Saccharomyces cerevisiae S288C: one gene and its partners. The protein of the gene in region 3 interacts with the protein of the main gene of each other region in a biochemical or structural test. Each region holds a gene or a part of one and is shown on either strand. Other genes may lie near its edges. The genes, in order: TEF1, GCN1, GCN2 and YGR054W.

Region 1 (3,514 bases), on a different chromosome or scaffold from region 3:
GCAAATCCGGATAAACCCAAAAGCGAAAACGATGAAGATCTATTTTGTGCGGTAACCAACCCAGTCACCGGATCATACATAGATCTATCACAGCTATCTTCAACTCCCAACAAATTAAGGGAGGGCCAAAAACAGATTTCTGGCAATAACAAGCATGAATCCTCCAAGACGAAGTGGTCAGTGAGAGGTTGGGGCTACGATACAAACTTCACGTTAGGCATCTGCTCTAGTCCTGTCGGAGAAGCTGAGTCGCAACAACTGTCCAATCTAACGGGCGCTTTTTACGTAGACCAGTTGAACGAAAATAATTTAGTATCGATTGGAGACTTCAGTACAAGGCCTGCGTTAGTCGGCGGCTCTACTGCCAAGAAATTAACTCTCAAATACGAAAACGGCTCTATGTGCCCGAACGGGAAGGACAAGAAGGCAACTTTATTGAATTTTGTCTGCGATAAAGAAATTCAATCAAAGGCCCAGATATCATACATTGGAAACCTACACAATTGCTCGTATTTCTTCGAAGTCCGCAGCATTCATGCGTGCCCCACCTCAAACAAAAAGAATGAAGTTAACGTTTTGGGTATCTTCATCGGTATCTTCGCTATATTCTTTTTAGTCGAATTTGCGGGGAGAAGATGGATCTATGCTAAACTAAATAGGCATTTGAAAAACGACGACGAGTTACACGACATATCGCCATCTTTAAATGAGCAACCACACTGGGACCTCATAGAGGACGGGTCTCGCTGGAGTAAATTTTTCAACGGGATAATTAAGACGACAAGAAGGTTCACGAAATCTTTAATGAGGTCTTTAGTCAGAGGCAGGAACAGCCGTCAAGGGGGCATAAGACTACGGTCATCCCCATCTGCCTCTTCGTCCAGCCTTGCCAACAGGGAGTTCTTCAGAGACATGGAGGCTCAAAACGAAATTATTGACAGCCTAGACATCAATAGTCATACAACAGAAAGCGACCACCCAACTTTGGCTGATAATAGCGTATAAACAATGCATACTTTGTACGTTCAAAATACAATGCAGTAGATATATTTATGCATATTACATATAATACATATCACATAGGAAGCAACAGGCGCGTTGGACTTTTAATTTTCGAGGACCGCGAATCCTTACATCACACCCAATCCCCCACAAGTGATCCCCCACACACCATAGCTTCAAAATGTTTCTACTCCTTTTTTACTCTTCCAGATTTTCTCGGACTCCGCGCATCGCCGTACCACTTCAAAACACCCAAGCACAGCATACTAAATTTCCCCTCTTTCTTCCTCTAGGGTGTCGTTAATTACCCGTACTAAAGGTTTGGAAAAGAAAAAAGAGACCGCCTCGTTTCTTTTTCTTCGTCGAAAAAGGCAATAAAAATTTTTATCACGTTTCTTTTTCTTGAAAATTTTTTTTTTTGATTTTTTTCTCTTTCGATGACCTCCCATTGATATTTAAGTTAATAAACGGTCTTCAATTTCTCAAGTTTCAGTTTCATTTTTCTTGTTCTATTACAACTTTTTTTACTTCTTGCTCATTAGAAAGAAAGCATAGCAATCTAATCTAAGTTTTAATTACAAAATGGGTAAAGAGAAGTCTCACATTAACGTTGTCGTTATCGGTCATGTCGATTCTGGTAAGTCTACCACTACCGGTCATTTGATTTACAAGTGTGGTGGTATTGACAAGAGAACCATCGAAAAGTTCGAAAAGGAAGCCGCTGAATTAGGTAAGGGTTCTTTCAAGTACGCTTGGGTTTTGGACAAGTTAAAGGCTGAAAGAGAAAGAGGTATCACTATCGATATTGCTTTGTGGAAGTTCGAAACTCCAAAGTACCAAGTTACCGTTATTGATGCTCCAGGTCACAGAGATTTCATCAAGAACATGATTACTGGTACTTCTCAAGCTGACTGTGCTATCTTGATTATTGCTGGTGGTGTCGGTGAATTCGAAGCCGGTATCTCTAAGGATGGTCAAACCAGAGAACACGCTTTGTTGGCTTTCACCTTGGGTGTTAGACAATTGATTGTTGCTGTCAACAAGATGGACTCCGTCAAATGGGACGAATCCAGATTCCAAGAAATTGTCAAGGAAACCTCCAACTTTATCAAGAAGGTTGGTTACAACCCAAAGACTGTTCCATTCGTCCCAATCTCTGGTTGGAACGGTGACAACATGATTGAAGCTACCACCAACGCTCCATGGTACAAGGGTTGGGAAAAGGAAACCAAGGCCGGTGTCGTCAAGGGTAAGACTTTGTTGGAAGCCATTGACGCCATTGAACAACCATCTAGACCAACTGACAAGCCATTGAGATTGCCATTGCAAGATGTTTACAAGATTGGTGGTATTGGTACTGTGCCAGTCGGTAGAGTTGAAACCGGTGTCATCAAGCCAGGTATGGTTGTTACTTTTGCCCCAGCTGGTGTTACCACTGAAGTCAAGTCCGTTGAAATGCATCACGAACAATTGGAACAAGGTGTTCCAGGTGACAACGTTGGTTTCAACGTCAAGAACGTTTCCGTTAAGGAAATCAGAAGAGGTAACGTCTGTGGTGACGCTAAGAACGATCCACCAAAGGGTTGCGCTTCTTTCAACGCTACCGTCATTGTTTTGAACCATCCAGGTCAAATCTCTGCTGGTTACTCTCCAGTTTTGGATTGTCACACTGCTCACATTGCTTGTAGATTCGACGAATTGTTGGAAAAGAACGACAGAAGATCTGGTAAGAAGTTGGAAGACCATCCAAAGTTCTTGAAGTCCGGTGACGCTGCTTTGGTCAAGTTCGTTCCATCTAAGCCAATGTGTGTTGAAGCTTTCAGTGAATACCCACCATTAGGTAGATTCGCTGTCAGAGACATGAGACAAACTGTCGCTGTCGGTGTTATCAAGTCTGTTGACAAGACTGAAAAGGCCGCTAAGGTTACCAAGGCTGCTCAAAAGGCTGCTAAGAAATAAGGAGATTGATAAGACTTTTCTAGTTGCATATCTTTTATATTTAAATCTTATCTATTAGTTAATTTTTTGTAATTTATCCTTATATATAGTCTGGTTATTCTAAAATATCATTTCAGTATCTAAAAATTCCCCTCTTTTTTCAGTTATATCTTAACAGGCGACAGTCCAAATGTTGATTTATCCCAGTCCGATTCATCAGGGTTGTGAAGCATTTTGTCAATGGTCGAAATCACATCAGTAATAGTGCCTCTTACTTGCCTCATAGAATTTCTTTCTCTTAACGTCACCGTTTGGTCTTTTATAGTTTCGAAATCTATGGTGATACCAAATGGTGTTCCCAATTCATCGTTACGGGCGTATTTTTTACCAATTGAAGTATTGGAATCGTCAATTTTAAAGTATATCTCTCTTTTACGTAAAGCCTGCGAGATCCTCTTAAGTATAGCGGGGAAGCCATCGTTATTCGATATTGTCGTAACAAATACTTTGATCGGCGCTATCTGTAATGGAAAAGAGAAGAAGCCTCTTGACTCACTATCCACTCGAACTTGGA
Region 2 (4,867 bases), on a different chromosome or scaffold from region 3:
TGATAAGACGGAGTTAAAATATCTCTCAAAACCATGGAACAACAATATGTGTACATATATAAAGCTTTTGAGTGAAAAGATTTCTTTCCACTATTTACTGTCAATTTTATTCAACACGAAAGGGAATTAAGTGCACATAAATACTTCATTTCTTGATAAGGAAGTATAATATTGCTCCTAAGAAGAGTTTGAAATGAGCGATGTTCTATCTCAATATAAAGGGTGCTCAGTCAGAGATTTACCCACACCCAATTTCGTTATTAATGAAGAAAAATTTGATAAGAATTGTACGACAATGTTGAACAACGTTGAAAAGCTCAGCCAGGAATGTGGCGTACCAATCAAATTTCGTGCACACGTAAAAACGCATAAGACAGCAAAGGGAACTTTGAAACAATTGGGCCACGGACTTCCATTGGCTAAACGCACTACAAGAGCCATATTAGTATCAACTTTGAAAGAAGCAGAAGAACTTCTTAATTATCAAGATAGACAATGTTCGGATTATATTGACGATATAACATATAGTTTACCCTGTTGCGTTCCAGAGTTTATTCCTCTTTTGAGCAATTTGTCAAGAAGGGTGAATAATTTTCAGGTTTTTGTTGATAACATTGAACACTTGGAGAATTTAAAGAATTTCGGTAGGCCTGCTTCCGGCAAGAAATGGTCGGTTTTTATCAAGGTTGATATGGGGACTAAGAGGGCAGGTCTTGCTTTCGACTCTCCAGAATTTTTGAGTCTTTTAAAAAAACTGACTTCCTCAGAAATTAAAGAAGTAATTGAGCCATATGGGTTTTATGCTCATGCCGGACACAGCTACTCTTCAACCTCGATCAACGACACTCAGAATCTTTTGATGGAAGAAGTGAAAGCAGTCAATTCTGCCGCTAAAGTTTTGTGCTCTGTGGATCCTCAGTTTGATCCTTCTAAATTAACACTTTCTGTGGGCGCTACTCCGACTTCCAATTCTTTGAAACTCGATAATAAAAGTACCCTTGTTAAATTCATTACTACTCAATTAGTTAGTACGCTTGAAATCCACTGCGGTAATTACTGCATGTATGACCTGCAACAGGTGGCAACAGGCTGTGTCCAAGATCACGAATTGTCTGGTTTTGTATTAGGAACAGTACTATCATCTTACCCTTCTAGAGGTGAATTGTTGAGTAATACAGGTGTAATGTGTCTAACGCGAGAAGCATCCTCAATAAAAGGGTTTGGAATATGTGCTGATTTGGAACATGTGTTAAAATCCGAGAGTTTCAGTAGGGAATGGTATGTAGCAAGGGTCTCTCAAGAACACGGGATACTGAGGCCAATAAGAAACTGGAACGAAACTACTCCATTAAAATTAGGCAGCAAAATTGCCGTCCTTCCTCAACACGCTTGTATCACAATGGGACAATTTCCATATTATTTCGTGGTAAACAGCGAAGGCATTGTCAACGATGTTTGGTTACCTTTTCAGAAATGGTAAGCTCTCTTTTGTCGTTGGTTATCACTCTCATCAAAGCATCTCTGTGTCTATGTAATTGTGTATCTATTTATAAATAGTAACTAAGAGTAAGGTTGTACACAGGTTGGTCTAAACACCCTCTTGTTAAGCTTCCGCATTACCTGCGAGCTGGTAATTGTAATACAGATTTATTTGTTGATATAATGCTATGAAATTTCAACTACCGTCATTGAGCTTCTCAATAAAGTCGTTACGTACGAATGAAAAATTTGAATAATTTAAACCTTCGAAAAGATCTTTGAGTTGTACTTATTAAACCTGAAGTAGATCATTAAGACAAACAAAGCTCTGACTGACACCAATAACTCCTACAGTGATGACAGCTATCTTAAACTGGGAAGATATATCCCCTGTTTTAGAGAAAGGCACCCGCGAATCACACGTGTCTAAAAGAGTTCCCTTTTTGCAAGATATATCACAATTAGTTCGTCAAGAAACATTGGAAAAACCTCAATTATCTGAAATTGCTTTCGTTTTATTGAATACCTTCACGATTTACGAAGACAATAGGTCTAAAAGTTTGGTAACTTCAATATTGCTTGACATCTTAAATCTAGAGCCATGTCTCCTAGAAAACTTTATCCGATTCATTTCCGACGTGGTCATCAGTAATCCGGCTACCAAAGCAGTCGCTGATTACCTTAATTTGTTAGATTGGATTAATTCTTTCTTGATTTTTGTGTCGCATAATTCTAATTTATTTGAAGAGTACATTCCAAAATTGTTGGTCGCCCATTCTTATGCAACGTTCGGTGTGGAAACTATTCTTGACAATCAAGAAGAAGGCAAGAAATCCCAAGATAAGCAGAACCAGCATAGAAAGAGAATTCGTTATTGCATTTTCCAAACAACGGTCAAAGCATTCCTTAAGTGCTTGAAGGATAATGACGACAGTATTTCCTTCATGAAGATTTCAATTAAAACTGTACTGGAGAGCTACTCTAAGCTGAAGATAACCAGTGTTGGAGTAGTTATGATAATGGGTGCACTAACTCAGGCTGCACTTCAGTTATTATCGAGGCAACCAGCTCTGCACTCCGTTTTAAAGGAAAATTCTGCAGAGAAATATTGCGAATATTTGGGCAAAGAAGTGTTTTTAGGCAAAAACCCACCATCTTCCTTTTGCTTAGAGATTGGTTTGAAGCCATTTTTAAAAGAATTTGTTTCACAAGAGTTATTCATTAAGTTTTTCATCCCTAATATTGAAAAAGCAGTTTTAAGATCTCCTGAGGTTGGTTTTTCGATTTTATCTGAGTTATATGCTGGTGTTTCTCCTGAAAAAGTAAATCTCTTAAATGCCTTTGCTTCCTCGAAACTGATTAATCAATACTTCTCGTCATTTAAAAGCTCAAAAGAGGTAGTTAGATCCGTCTCGCTTCAGTCTATGATAATCTTATTGAGAAAAATTTCCAATACTGACACTACCTTGGAAGATTTGACCAAGCTTATTGACGAAATATTTAAGAACATCAAATCGAACTTAAATGCAGATTACAAATCACTTATTTCCAAAATTCTCATAGAAATACCCTTAACGCACTATGAGGTTTCAGAAAAAATCTGCAAAGGGCTGTCCCCATATATTGGTAAAGAAGGTAATGAAGCAGCCTTGACTCTAATGCTTAACGCTTTTTTTGTTCATTATTTTAGTCTGGGCAAACCTATTGAAGACTTGGATAAAATTATATCAGCTGGTTTTGCAGATAAAAAACCTGCTTTGAAAAAATGCTGGTTTGCCGCATTTTTGAACAATTCCAATGCTGCCTCTGAAGAGGTGATTTTAAACTTTATAGACGGTTGTTTGGAATTTGTGAAAGACTCCATCATACATTATCAGACTCACGGGCATGCATGTATTCTAGCATCAATTGAATTTACAAACAAAATTTTGGCATTGGACAATACTGAGCTAAATGATCGTGTTATGCAGCTCATAGAAACCCTTCCTGAAAATTCTTCGATAGGTGATGCTATCTTAACTGCTGCATTATCAACAGAGCTATCCATCGAAAACCGTATTCATGCTGTTAATTTACTACAAGAATTGTTCTACAAGAAACCCGAATTTATTGGGTTTAGCGTGATTGATGCAATTGAAAGGAGAATGCGTGTCCAAGAATTAATACCTCAACAAAATACATCCTTTAAATATGTCACTTCTGTACTACTGGCCATTACGTCTGAGTTACCTGACAAGGAAGCCTCGATAAAGGTATTAATCAATGCTCTGGTCATAGCGCAATGGAATATTTTCAACATTAAGAATGGCTGGGCTGGTTTAGTTTTACGTGCAAGGCTTGATCCAGCTGAAGTTGTCAAAGAACATGCTAGCGTTATCATGGAGAAGATTCTTGAAATCACAGGTAGTTGTGAATGGATAGATACAATTTATGGTGCATGCGGTTTGCAAGCAGCTGCCTATGCAGCATTTATTCAGCCTAATGAGTTCACACCGATCCTTTGTAAGACTATCGAAGCAGATTTAACCGCGGATGATTTCTCACGTTTATCTGAAGAGGACTTCGAAATTTTTGCAGGAGAGGAAGGTGTTCTGGTGGTTGACGTCCTGGAAGAAAGCATGAATAAGAAACTTTCCAATAAAAATTCTAAAGAGTACGAAACTCTAATGTGGGAACAAAAAATAAGGAAGGAGCAAGCCAAAAAGAATGTGAAAAAACTTTCAAAAGAGGAACAAGAGCTCGTTAATGAACAGTTAGCGAAAGAATCTGCAGTTAGATCACACGTTTCGGAAATTTCCACTCGTTTAAAGCGTGGTATTAGATTGGTATCTGAACTTTCCAAAGCTGCTTGCTTAGTCCAAAATGGCATCGCTACTTGGTTCCCCTTGGCAGTCACAAAGCTTTTGTACCTATGCTCGGAACCAAATATTTCAAAGCTAACAGAGGATGTAAATAATGTGTTCTTGCAGCTTTCTCAAAATGTCTCCGAGAGATTAGGTAATATCAGACTTTTCTTAGGTTTGGCGACTTTGCGTGTGCACAATGCTAATGGCATCTCGCAAGATTATTTACAAGAACCACTGGTTGAATTACTTACAAGAGTTCTTTTTAGGATCAAGTTCGTCTCCAACCAAGCAGCAATAGATTCCATCAGTTTGACATATATTTTACCATTGTTGATTAATGTTTTAGAAAAGGGTAAGGCGATTGCATTAAAGAATGCGGACAAGCCTGTTGTTAAGGCTGAGTTTGTTGAAGAAGATGAAGAAGAAGAACATCTGTTACTGGCCATGGAAATTATTTCTGTACACGCTGAAGCTTTTGAGGATCCTTCCATTCCGAGAATTTCCATTGTTGAAGTGTTACTATCTCTTCTATCTTTACCCTC
Region 3 (7,172 bases):
AAACCCAACGTTGGATAACCTCACGACTAACTTTTTTGTATTTTAGAAATAATTTGTCGATCGGTTGTATATTTTTGTCATATATTATCTAGAAACGTTAGGGAATAAACTGTTATCTAGGGTCCACTAACATACGCGCAGTTCGGAAATCAGCAAACATCACTTAAAGGACACCTGCTATAAACTGAATTGTGTCCAATTTTTCGAGTAGTTAGCAGTTCAATAAAGGGCACGTTATCAATTGTTAAAGGCAAAGAATCAGAATTAAATCATAGCAAACGACCAAAATGAACAGAGTTTCGTTTATTAAAACGCCTTTCAACATAGGGGCGAAATGGAGATTAGAAGATGTCTTTTTGCTCATTATCATGATACTTCTTAACTACCCAGTGTATTACCAACAACCGTTCGAACGTCAGTTTTACATTAACGATCTCACTATATCGCATCCTTATGCGACAACTGAACGTGTAAATAACAACATGTTGTTTGTTTATAGTTTTGTCGTGCCATCTTTAACCATATTGATAATTGGTTCCATTTTGGCCGATAGAAGACATTTGATTTTTATTTTGTACACATCTCTCCTTGGTTTATCACTCGCTTGGTTCAGTACGAGTTTCTTTACAAACTTCATCAAGAATTGGATTGGAAGACTAAGACCAGATTTTCTAGATCGTTGCCAACCTGTTGAAGGCTTGCCATTGGACACTTTATTTACTGCAAAAGATGTGTGTACGACTAAGAATCACGAACGTCTGTTGGATGGGTTTAGGACAACTCCGTCAGGTCATTCAAGTGAAAGCTTTGCAGGACTGGGTTATTTGTACTTCTGGCTATGTGGGCAACTTTTGACTGAATCACCGTTGATGCCTTTATGGAGAAAAATGGTGGCCTTTCTACCACTGTTAGGAGCTGCACTAATTGCTCTATCCAGAACTCAAGATTACAGACATCATTTCGTCGATGTAATTTTAGGGTCTATGTTGGGTTATATAATGGCACACTTTTTCTACAGAAGAATCTTCCCACCCATTGATGATCCTCTTCCGTTCAAACCATTGATGGACGATTCAGATGTCACCCTGGAGGAAGCAGTCACCCATCAGAGGATCCCGGATGAGGAATTACATCCTTTGTCCGATGAAGGTATGTAAGAATAAAAAAGAATATATACTCCACATGACATACGAAATATACGTATTTATTGTTCTGTATGGAATAACAGCGATTACATAAAGATGACATGTTACTTCTTTATTCAAATTAATCTTGACGTGCAAGGGCCTGCTTGTTATTTCATCGGACAATCCCAACATCACTTTACACGAAAGCCTTAGAAGTTTATTATTTGTTTTAAGTTGGACTATAGTGATGTAGGTAGTTTCTTAGGAAGCAGTTGAGTAGCTGATTTTTGAGATAAGAACCTGGTGTAATCAATCTATAAACAGCCTAGAATCTTTTTAAGCAAATTTACTTTTACATTTATCTCTATCTTCTTTCTTACAAGAAGTTATTTTCATTACAAAAGGACATTAAATACACTAAATTTTCAATCTTTACATTGTTGGAAAGCCTCGTTGTCTTTTAAGATTTTATAAGCATTGATTTTTTTTTTCAATAATTTTCCGTTCCCCTTAACACATACTATGTATAAATGTCATTGAGTCATCTCACTTTAGATCAATATTATGAAATACAGTGCAACGAACTTGAAGCGATACGTTCCATTTATATGGATGACTTTACTGACTTAACTAAAAGAAAGTCTAGCTGGGATAAGCAGCCACAGATTATATTCGAAATTACGCTTCGATCTGTTGACAAAGAGCCGGTTGAATCTTCTATAACATTACATTTTGCGATGACCCCAATGTATCCTTATACCGCTCCAGAAATAGAATTCAAAAATGTACAAAATGTAATGGATAGTCAATTGCAAATGCTGAAAAGTGAATTTAAGAAAATCCACAACACCTCCCGAGGCCAAGAGATTATATTTGAAATTACATCTTTTACTCAAGAAAAACTGGACGAATTTCAAAATGTGGTAAATACACAGTCCTTGGAAGATGATCGATTACAAAGAATCAAAGAAACTAAAGAACAATTAGAAAAGGAAGAAAGAGAAAAACAACAGGAAACAATAAAAAAAAGATCAGATGAGCAGCGAAGGATAGATGAAATTGTTCAAAGAGAGTTGGAGAAAAGACAAGATGATGATGATGATTTGCTATTCAACAGAACAACCCAGTTAGATTTACAACCACCTTCAGAATGGGTTGCATCAGGTGAAGCTATTGTCTTTTCAAAAACTATAAAGGCAAAATTGCCTAATAACTCAATGTTCAAGTTTAAAGCAGTTGTAAATCCTAAGCCAATAAAACTGACATCAGATATATTTAGTTTTTCCAAACAATTTCTTGTGAAGCCTTATATACCACCAGAATCTCCGTTGGCAGATTTTTTAATGTCTTCTGAAATGATGGAAAATTTCTACTATTTGCTATCTGAAATTGAATTGGATAATAGCTATTTCAACACAAGTAATGGAAAAAAAGAAATAGCAAATTTAGAGAAAGAGTTAGAGACGGTGTTGAAAGCTAAGCATGACAATGTGAATCGATTGTTCGGTTATACGGTGGAGCGCATGGGGAGAAATAATGCAACGTTTGTTTGGAAAATAAGACTCTTGACAGAGTACTGTAACTACTATCCATTGGGAGATTTGATACAATCTGTTGGATTTGTTAACTTAGCAACAGCGCGTATTTGGATGATTAGATTGCTTGAAGGATTGGAGGCCATACACAAATTGGGAATTGTTCATAAATGTATCAACTTAGAAACCGTGATCCTGGTGAAGGATGCAGATTTTGGAAGCACTATTCCCAAGTTAGTTCACTCCACTTATGGCTACACTGTTTTGAATATGCTATCGAGATATCCAAATAAAAATGGTTCTTCGGTTGAGTTATCTCCAAGTACATGGATAGCCCCTGAGTTGTTGAAATTCAATAACGCCAAACCTCAAAGATTAACTGATATTTGGCAACTTGGTGTTTTGTTTATCCAGATAATCAGTGGATCTGATATAGTGATGAATTTTGAAACGCCTCAAGAATTCCTAGATTCAACAAGTATGGATGAAACTTTATATGATCTTCTTTCGAAAATGCTTAATAACGATCCGAAGAAAAGATTAGGAACATTAGAACTACTGCCCATGAAATTCTTAAGGACCAATATTGACTCTACAATCAATCGATTTAACTTAGTTTCCGAAAGTGTCAATTCTAATTCCTTGGAGTTAACTCCTGGAGATACCATAACCGTTCGGGGCAATGGAGGTAGAACACTTTCACAATCGAGTATACGAAGAAGATCATTTAATGTTGGTTCCAGATTCTCTTCTATAAATCCTGCAACGCGATCACGATATGCTTCTGACTTTGAAGAGATTGCAGTTTTAGGCCAGGGCGCATTTGGACAAGTTGTCAAGGCACGTAATGCTCTCGATAGCAGATACTATGCGATCAAGAAGATTAGACATACAGAAGAAAAGTTATCTACTATATTGAGTGAAGTAATGCTGTTAGCAAGCTTAAATCATCAATATGTTGTGCGTTACTATGCTGCATGGTTAGAAGAAGACAGTATGGATGAAAACGTTTTTGAATCAACTGATGAAGAAAGTGACTTGAGCGAATCTTCCTCTGATTTTGAGGAAAATGATTTATTAGATCAAAGCAGTATTTTTAAAAATAGAACAAATCACGATTTGGATAATAGTAACTGGGATTTCATATCGGGGTCAGGATATCCGGATATTGTCTTTGAAAATAGTTCTCGTGATGATGAAAATGAAGATCTAGACCATGATACTTCCTCGACTTCCTCGAGCGAAAGTCAAGATGATACTGATAAAGAATCAAAGAGTATCCAGAACGTTCCAAGAAGGAGGAATTTTGTAAAACCGATGACTGCTGTTAAGAAGAAAAGTACGCTTTTTATTCAAATGGAGTACTGTGAAAATAGAACGCTATATGATTTGATCCATTCTGAAAATTTAAATCAACAACGTGATGAATATTGGAGGTTATTTCGACAAATTTTGGAAGCACTGAGTTATATACATTCCCAGGGTATCATTCATAGGGATCTGAAGCCAATGAATATTTTTATAGATGAATCGAGAAATGTTAAAATCGGTGATTTTGGGTTAGCTAAGAACGTCCATAGATCTCTGGATATACTTAAGCTAGATTCACAGAATTTGCCAGGCAGCTCAGATAATTTAACATCCGCCATTGGTACAGCAATGTATGTTGCTACTGAAGTTTTAGATGGTACAGGTCACTATAATGAAAAGATTGATATGTATTCACTTGGAATCATTTTTTTTGAAATGATCTATCCTTTCAGTACAGGTATGGAGAGAGTTAATATTTTGAAAAAGTTACGATCAGTGTCGATAGAATTTCCTCCTGATTTCGACGATAATAAGATGAAAGTTGAAAAGAAAATTATAAGGTTACTCATAGACCATGATCCCAATAAAAGGCCTGGTGCTAGGACATTATTAAATAGTGGTTGGCTTCCTGTGAAGCATCAGGATGAAGTAATCAAAGAGGCTTTAAAAAGTTTGTCGAATCCTTCATCCCCTTGGCAACAGCAAGTTCGAGAAAGTTTATTTAACCAATCTTACAGTCTAACAAATGATATTCTATTTGATAACTCAGTTCCAACATCCACTCCTTTCGCAAACATTCTCAGGTCCCAAATGACAGAAGAGGTAGTTAAAATTTTCAGGAAACATGGAGGAATTGAAAATAATGCTCCTCCGAGGATTTTTCCAAAGGCCCCCATATACGGTACGCAGAATGTATATGAAGTGCTTGACAAGGGCGGTACCGTCTTGCAGTTACAATATGATTTAACTTATCCTATGGCTAGGTATCTATCTAAAAATCCAAGTCTGATTTCTAAGCAATATAGGATGCAGCACGTTTACCGACCTCCTGATCATTCAAGGTCAAGTTTGGAACCTAGAAAGTTTGGTGAGATTGACTTCGACATAATTTCAAAATCTTCCTCAGAGTCAGGATTTTATGATGCAGAAAGCTTGAAAATTATCGATGAAATATTAACCGTATTTCCTGTATTTGAGAAAACAAACACTTTTTTCATATTAAATCATGCTGATATTTTGGAGAGTGTTTTCAACTTTACAAATATTGATAAAGCCCAAAGGCCTCTAGTTTCACGAATGTTGTCGCAAGTAGGCTTTGCAAGGTCCTTCAAGGAAGTAAAGAATGAACTAAAGGCGCAACTGAACATATCTTCTACGGCATTGAATGATTTGGAGTTATTTGATTTTAGACTGGACTTCGAAGCAGCCAAAAAACGCCTGTATAAATTGATGATTGATAGTCCGCATCTAAAAAAAATTGAGGACTCTTTGTCCCATATATCAAAGGTTCTCAGTTACCTAAAACCCTTAGAAGTTGCAAGAAATGTTGTGATATCTCCTTTGAGTAACTACAATAGCGCTTTTTACAAAGGAGGTATCATGTTTCATGCAGTTTATGACGATGGATCCTCACGTAATATGATAGCTGCTGGAGGGAGGTATGACACTTTGATATCCTTTTTTGCCAGACCATCAGGAAAAAAGAGCAGCAATACTCGTAAGGCTGTAGGTTTCAACTTAGCGTGGGAAACAATATTCGGTATAGCCCAAAACTATTTCAAACTCGCTTCTGGAAATAGGATAAAGAAGAGAAATAGGTTTTTGAAAGATACAGCTGTTGATTGGAAGCCAAGCAGGTGTGATGTATTGATATCGAGTTTTTCGAACTCTTTGTTGGACACAATCGGGGTTACAATACTGAATACATTGTGGAAGCAAAACATTAAAGCGGATATGTTAAGGGATTGTTCCTCGGTGGATGATGTCGTTACTGGCGCTCAACAGGATGGTATAGACTGGATTTTGCTGATTAAGCAACAAGCGTATCCACTAACCAATCACAAGAGAAAGTACAAGCCATTAAAAATAAAAAAATTGAGCACTAATGTTGACATAGATTTAGATCTTGATGAGTTTTTAACCTTGTACCAACAAGAAACTGGTAATAAATCTTTGATCAACGATAGTCTCACTTTGGGCGATAAGGCTGATGAATTTAAAAGATGGGATGAAAACAGCAGTGCCGGTAGTAGTCAAGAAGGTGACATAGATGATGTTGTTGCTGGTTCGACTAATAATCAAAAGGTAATTTATGTTCCAAACATGGCTACAAGATCTAAGAAAGCTAATAAAAGGGAAAAGTGGGTTTATGAGGATGCAGCCAGAAATTCTTCGAATATGATATTACACAATTTATCCAATGCACCAATTATCACTGTTGATGCCTTAAGAGATGAAACTTTAGAAATAATCTCAATTACTTCTTTGGCTCAGAAGGAAGAATGGCTGAGAAAAGTTTTTGGGTCAGGTAATAACTCGACTCCTAGAAGCTTTGCCACGAGCATTTATAATAACCTCTCCAAAGAGGCTCATAAAGGGAATAGGTGGGCAATATTATACTGCCACAAAACCGGAAAATCATCTGTTATCGATTTACAGAGGTAGGCCTTTAAAGATCTGTGCGGCGCTATAACGCATCAGTTAAAGGTAAAGTATATACAATGTCTTAGATACTATATTTAGGCTAGCTGATTCATCTAATTCACCGTTGTAAAGGGGGTAGGTCACCTTTCTTATACATATTCCTGATACTAAAGACAAATGTAGGTTTAATGAGATGGTCTACTTCTTCTCTCCTTTCTCTACTTTCCATTTTGTATTTAATTTTTCGGTGAATATAAATGTGTGCGTATGTTGTGTGAGGCTCCTCTAGCTCCTACGGGAGACATTTAATAAATGATCATAATATGGCGTGAAGAATGCTTTCATTCAGAAGTTTGACTAGCACATTCGGTTTCGTATCACGATTCCAAATTAGACGGTTAGGAACTAGTTTATCAATACAGAATTTAGAAGTGCAAGATGGCCGTTGGAAAGGTAAACTAGCTACAGAGAAGAAGACCAATAGGGAACACAAGTCAGTGGATACGAATATCAAGACAATGAAGATGCTTAAAAACCCGAAGAATTCTACTCGCTA
Region 4 (4,051 bases), on a different chromosome or scaffold from region 3:
GCCGGGATAATCTCTTTTTTTTACTTCTTTTACCGTCGCCATCATTTTTCTTCTTCTCATCTTCTTTGGAATTTTGAGTTTCGTTGACCTTATTTTCCATTGACCTTTCAGCTGCATTTTCAAGGTACTCAGAGATAACACTTTGGTTCAAATTATTGGCTGTAGGATGTAAAATGTAGTCTATGACTGGTACCGACCTCATTGAAAATGAACCGCCTGCACCATTGCCTCGTTTCTCCTCTTTCAATCTGTCATTAATTTCTAATTTGGTAATCTTGCAATGGTCTTCCGGTATGCAGCTTTGCCATTTGATCACCAATTTGTCATTACATGTTATGGTATTATAACTCTGAAGAGCAGATTTAACTTCTTCATCATGCGATGTCGATGTTAGAGTCTTTACTGAACTTATATGCAAGCGACATTCATCGCCCAAGATAAACTTTCGTACTATCATTCGCATTGCATTCAAAGAAGCCATGTATTTTGATTTTCCATGTAACACTGGAATATATGGATGCGATGTTGGAAATAGTCTAAAAACAACGTTATCCGCCAACACTGACTCCTTGAACATTTTTTGTAACAAATTGGGAACACCTTTAACCACTAAATAATCTGTTATTTGCCCCAAATTGGCCACTTTTTGAGAATTGGAGTACCATCGAGGAAAGATTCCTTTGATAGATATTATGCCGGCTCTGCAAACACACTTTAGTAACATAAGTCTTTCCCCCTATTATCTATGAATATAAACTGTCTATCTTTCCTTGGTTGTGATGTATCGTTTTCCGTAGAGGCTTGCAGCTTTATGGCTCATACCTGTCATCCCTCTTTATGGGCCTTTTAAGGGCGCTCTCTACATTGTATTCTATTCATTTTTTTCGTAACCGTAACTACGCGCCTTCTTAACGCAAGGCGCTCGACTCATCATGAGATGCGTATGAATGTCTTTCAGTGTATAGAAATACATCTCACCAAATCTATTTATTTAACTAATATTTCTTTTAATATTTTCCTCAAGAAACTCAGGCAGTTAATGTTGTGTCCTATTTTTTTTAGTTCTTTCCCATTTTTATAGCACTCGTACAAAAGAAATCGAAATATTTCAATATGTTTAGACTCGGTTCTATGTGTTAAAACTGCAAGATGAAAAAGTAACATCTATCTTAGATTAAGGTCCTTTCTTTATATTCTTTACTTTATTAGTGAGCAGAAATATTATTAAAAATTGCCGCTGTCATACTGTACGATATTATTACCCGACCGCAGAATGTTCCTCAATACTTTCTTTTTCTTCCTTTTTTTCACTTCGCTTTCTTCATGTCCATCAATGAAATTTCAGCTTCATAGCGATTTATTTTCAGTGTACGTTATTCAATGAAGATTCCTTTTCCTCGATCTATCCAGACGACTAGACATAGCGAGAATTCTTTACGGTAGAAGCAACCTATAGATTACCGAATCATAACTTTCTTTAGTGTTGATTGAGACGTGTTGTGTTTAAACTATCCATTGCATCTCGATAAAAAAACATAGTACTACAACAAACAGTCAGGTTCAATAACACCTAAACATTATGTCATCTCAGTTTTTCCTGAAAACCTCTCAGGATATAGAGCTCTTCCAAAGCTACCCAACTTTTGAGCAATCCAACACAAACTCCAAGGATTTCCCTGTCATTTCCTCGGTTTTATCGCCATGTGGCAGATTTTTGGCTTTATCTACGAAGGAGAACGTCAAAGTTTTTACAGGTCCATGTTTGGATAACGTTCTATTAACAATGAAGTTGTCCGACGTCTATGACCTACACTTCTCTCCAGCAGGTAACTACTTAAGCACTTGGGAGAGAGCGTCTATACAAGACCCAAATCACAAGAACGTTAAAGTTTGGTATTTGAATAAACCATTTAAGAAAGATTGCGTTTCGGAGGATATAGTCCCTGCTTACGAATATCAAGCCAAATCCCAAAGCGGTTGGTTTTTACAATTCTCCAAATTAGACAATTATGGGCTAAGACTTTTTAAACACGACTTGAAGATTGTTAAATTAAGCTCCGCTAATGCCGACAATTTCGACTTCCAATCTCCGTTTGCTGTCTTGTCTGATGATGAAACGTCCCAACATTTCACCACCTACCTAATCTCTCCAGCTGAACATCCAACAATTTGTACTTTCACACCAGAAAAGGGTGGTAAACCGGCTCAATTAATCATATGGGCCCTCTCTGAAGGTAAAATCACCAAGAAAATTGCCTCCAAAACTTTCTTTAAAGCTGATTCCTGCCAATTGAAATGGAATCCATTAGGTAATGCTATTTTATGTTTAGCTATTACTGATTTTGATTCCTCAAACAAATCATATTATGGTGAAAACACACTATACTTACTGTCTTTCCAAGGTGTCAACGGGACTTTGGGTGGTAACTCTGTACGTGTTTCTTTAACCACTGGACCTGTCCACGATTTCACTTGGTCGCCAACTTCAAGGCAATTCGGTGTCATCGCTGGTTACATGCCAGCAACCATTTCCTTTTTTGACTTAAGAGGTAATGTTGTCCATTCATTACCTCAACAAGCCAAAAATACCATGCTTTTCTCTCCCTCTGGTCATTACATTCTTATCGCCGGGTTTGGTAATTTACAGGGCTCCGTGGAAATCCTAGATCGTCTCGACAAATTCAAGTGTGTGAGTAAATTTGACGCTACCAACACTTCTGTCTGCAAATGGTCACCGGGTGGAGAATTTATCATGACAGCTACCACTTCACCAAGATTGAGAGTGGATAACGGCGTTAAAATATGGCATGTATCAGGCTCTTTAGTATTTGTTAAAGAGTTCAAGGAGCTTTTGAAGGTAGACTGGAGGTCACCATGTAATTACAAAACTTTGGAAAACAAAGACGAAGCATTTTTCGAGAACCATATCATTAATAACTGGGAACCGCTACCTGATTCGACCACATCTTCACTTGATCCTAAAATATCCAATAAATCAGAATTGCAAATACATTCTAGCGTTCAAGAGTACATAAGTCAACACCCAAGCAGAGAAGCAAGCTCCAATGGAAACGGATCTAAGGCCAAAGCTGGAGGCGCTTATAAACCACCTCACGCAAGAAGAACAGGCGGTGGACGTATTGTCCCCGGAGTTCCTCCTGGTGCAGCAAAGAAGACCATCCCAGGGCTAGTTCCGGGCATGAGTGCCAACAAGGACGCCAACACCAAGAACAGGAGAAGAAGAGCCAATAAAAAGTCAAGTGAAACGTCACCTGATTCTACTCCGGCCCCATCTGCTCCTGCCTCCACAAATGCCCCCACAAACAATAAAGAAACTTCTCCAGAGGAGAAGAAAATAAGATCTTTACTAAAGAAATTAAGGGCTATTGAAACCTTGAAGGAAAGACAGGCCGTCGGTGACAAACTAGAAGATACGCAAGTTCTAAAAATTCAAACTGAAGAAAAAGTGTTGAAAGATTTGGAAAAGTTGGGTTGGAAGGATGAATAAACTAGAAGAAACTGATGTATCCATACAACTGTGTAAATATTAACAACGTCAAATAATACTACTTTGAATTGTTTTTTACTGTTTCCCAGGAGAATTACGCCAACCTCCCCCCTTTCTTTTTTTCCCTTGTTTTATTGTACTTTTCCACATATTTTTTTAACATCAAATAGTAATTGATACATACATAATTAGTGAGCATTTTCCTTATTTTTACGTCTCTTCTTGGCGGATTGCCACCAGCCGCATCTTACAATGTATGCCACGATACCGCCAGGCAATAAATGAATATGGAGTGTCACTTCGGCTCCGTAAGCCGGCGCTGCATCCGCCACCACAGTTTTTTTTAGCGTCGCTGTCGCCGCTTTGCCACAGAAAAAGAAAAAAAAAAAAGAAACGGCGCCGTGTAGGGTTTTGTATAACAGATCGGCCTAGCAGCCAGGAGATGGCACGGCGCCAACTGAAAAGTTAGACTGTGGAATTGCCGTTCACCACACTCGAGTGGCATCTAATAAACTGCCACAGTTGACTCAAGCGGTGCTACCT

Evidence for each region.
Region 1: the proteins of GCN2 (region 3) and TEF1 form a complex in vitro, tested with the Saccharomyces cerevisiae proteins (2 studies listed by BioGRID).
Region 2: the proteins of GCN2 (region 3) and GCN1 form a complex in vitro, tested with the Saccharomyces cerevisiae proteins (3 studies listed by BioGRID).
Region 4: of the proteins of GCN2 (region 3) and YGR054W, one has a biochemical effect on the other in vitro, tested with the Saccharomyces cerevisiae proteins (3 studies listed by BioGRID).

What each region holds. Positions count from the first base shown.
Region 1 is NC_001148.4:699,010-702,523, forward strand, and holds TEF1 (translation elongation factor EF-1 alpha), read left to right. Parts: upstream 1-1,584; coding exon 1,585-2,961; downstream 2,962-3,514. Other genes in the region: MRL1 (Mrl1p), read left to right, coding at 1-1,005; GRS2 (putative glycine--tRNA ligase), read right to left, coding at 3,105-3,514. UniProt on the Saccharomyces cerevisiae protein: GTP-binding component of the eukaryotic elongation factor 1 complex (eEF1). In its active GTP-bound form, binds to and delivers aminoacyl-tRNA to the A-site of ribosomes during protein biosynthesis.
Region 2 is NC_001139.9:129,690-134,556, forward strand, and holds the start of GCN1 (Gcn1p), read left to right. Parts: upstream 1-1,835; coding exon 1,836-4,867. Other genes in the region: D-serine ammonia-lyase DSD1, read left to right, coding at 194-1,480. UniProt on the Saccharomyces cerevisiae protein: Ribosome collision sensor that activates a translation quality control pathway when a ribosome has stalled during translation. Directly binds to the ribosome and acts as a sentinel for colliding ribosomes.
Region 3 is NC_001136.10:1,024,535-1,031,706, reverse strand, and holds GCN2 (serine/threonine-protein kinase GCN2), read left to right. Parts: upstream 1-1,657; coding exon 1,658-6,637; downstream 6,638-7,172. Other genes in the region: DPP1 (bifunctional diacylglycerol diphosphate phosphatase/phosphatidate phosphatase), read left to right, coding at 288-1,157; MRX10 (Mrx10p), read left to right, coding at 6,952-7,172. UniProt on the Saccharomyces cerevisiae protein: Metabolic-stress sensing protein kinase that phosphorylates the alpha subunit of eukaryotic translation initiation factor 2 (eIF-2-alpha/SUI2) on 'Ser-52' in response to low amino acid, carbon, or purine availability.
Region 4 is NC_001139.9:595,114-599,164, forward strand, and holds YGR054W (translation initiation factor 2A), read left to right. Parts: upstream 1-1,579; coding exon 1,580-3,508; downstream 3,509-4,051. Other genes in the region: MCO32 (Mco32p), read right to left, coding at 1-724. UniProt on the Saccharomyces cerevisiae protein: Functions in the early steps of protein synthesis of a small number of specific mRNAs. Acts by directing the binding of methionyl-tRNAi to 40S ribosomal subunits.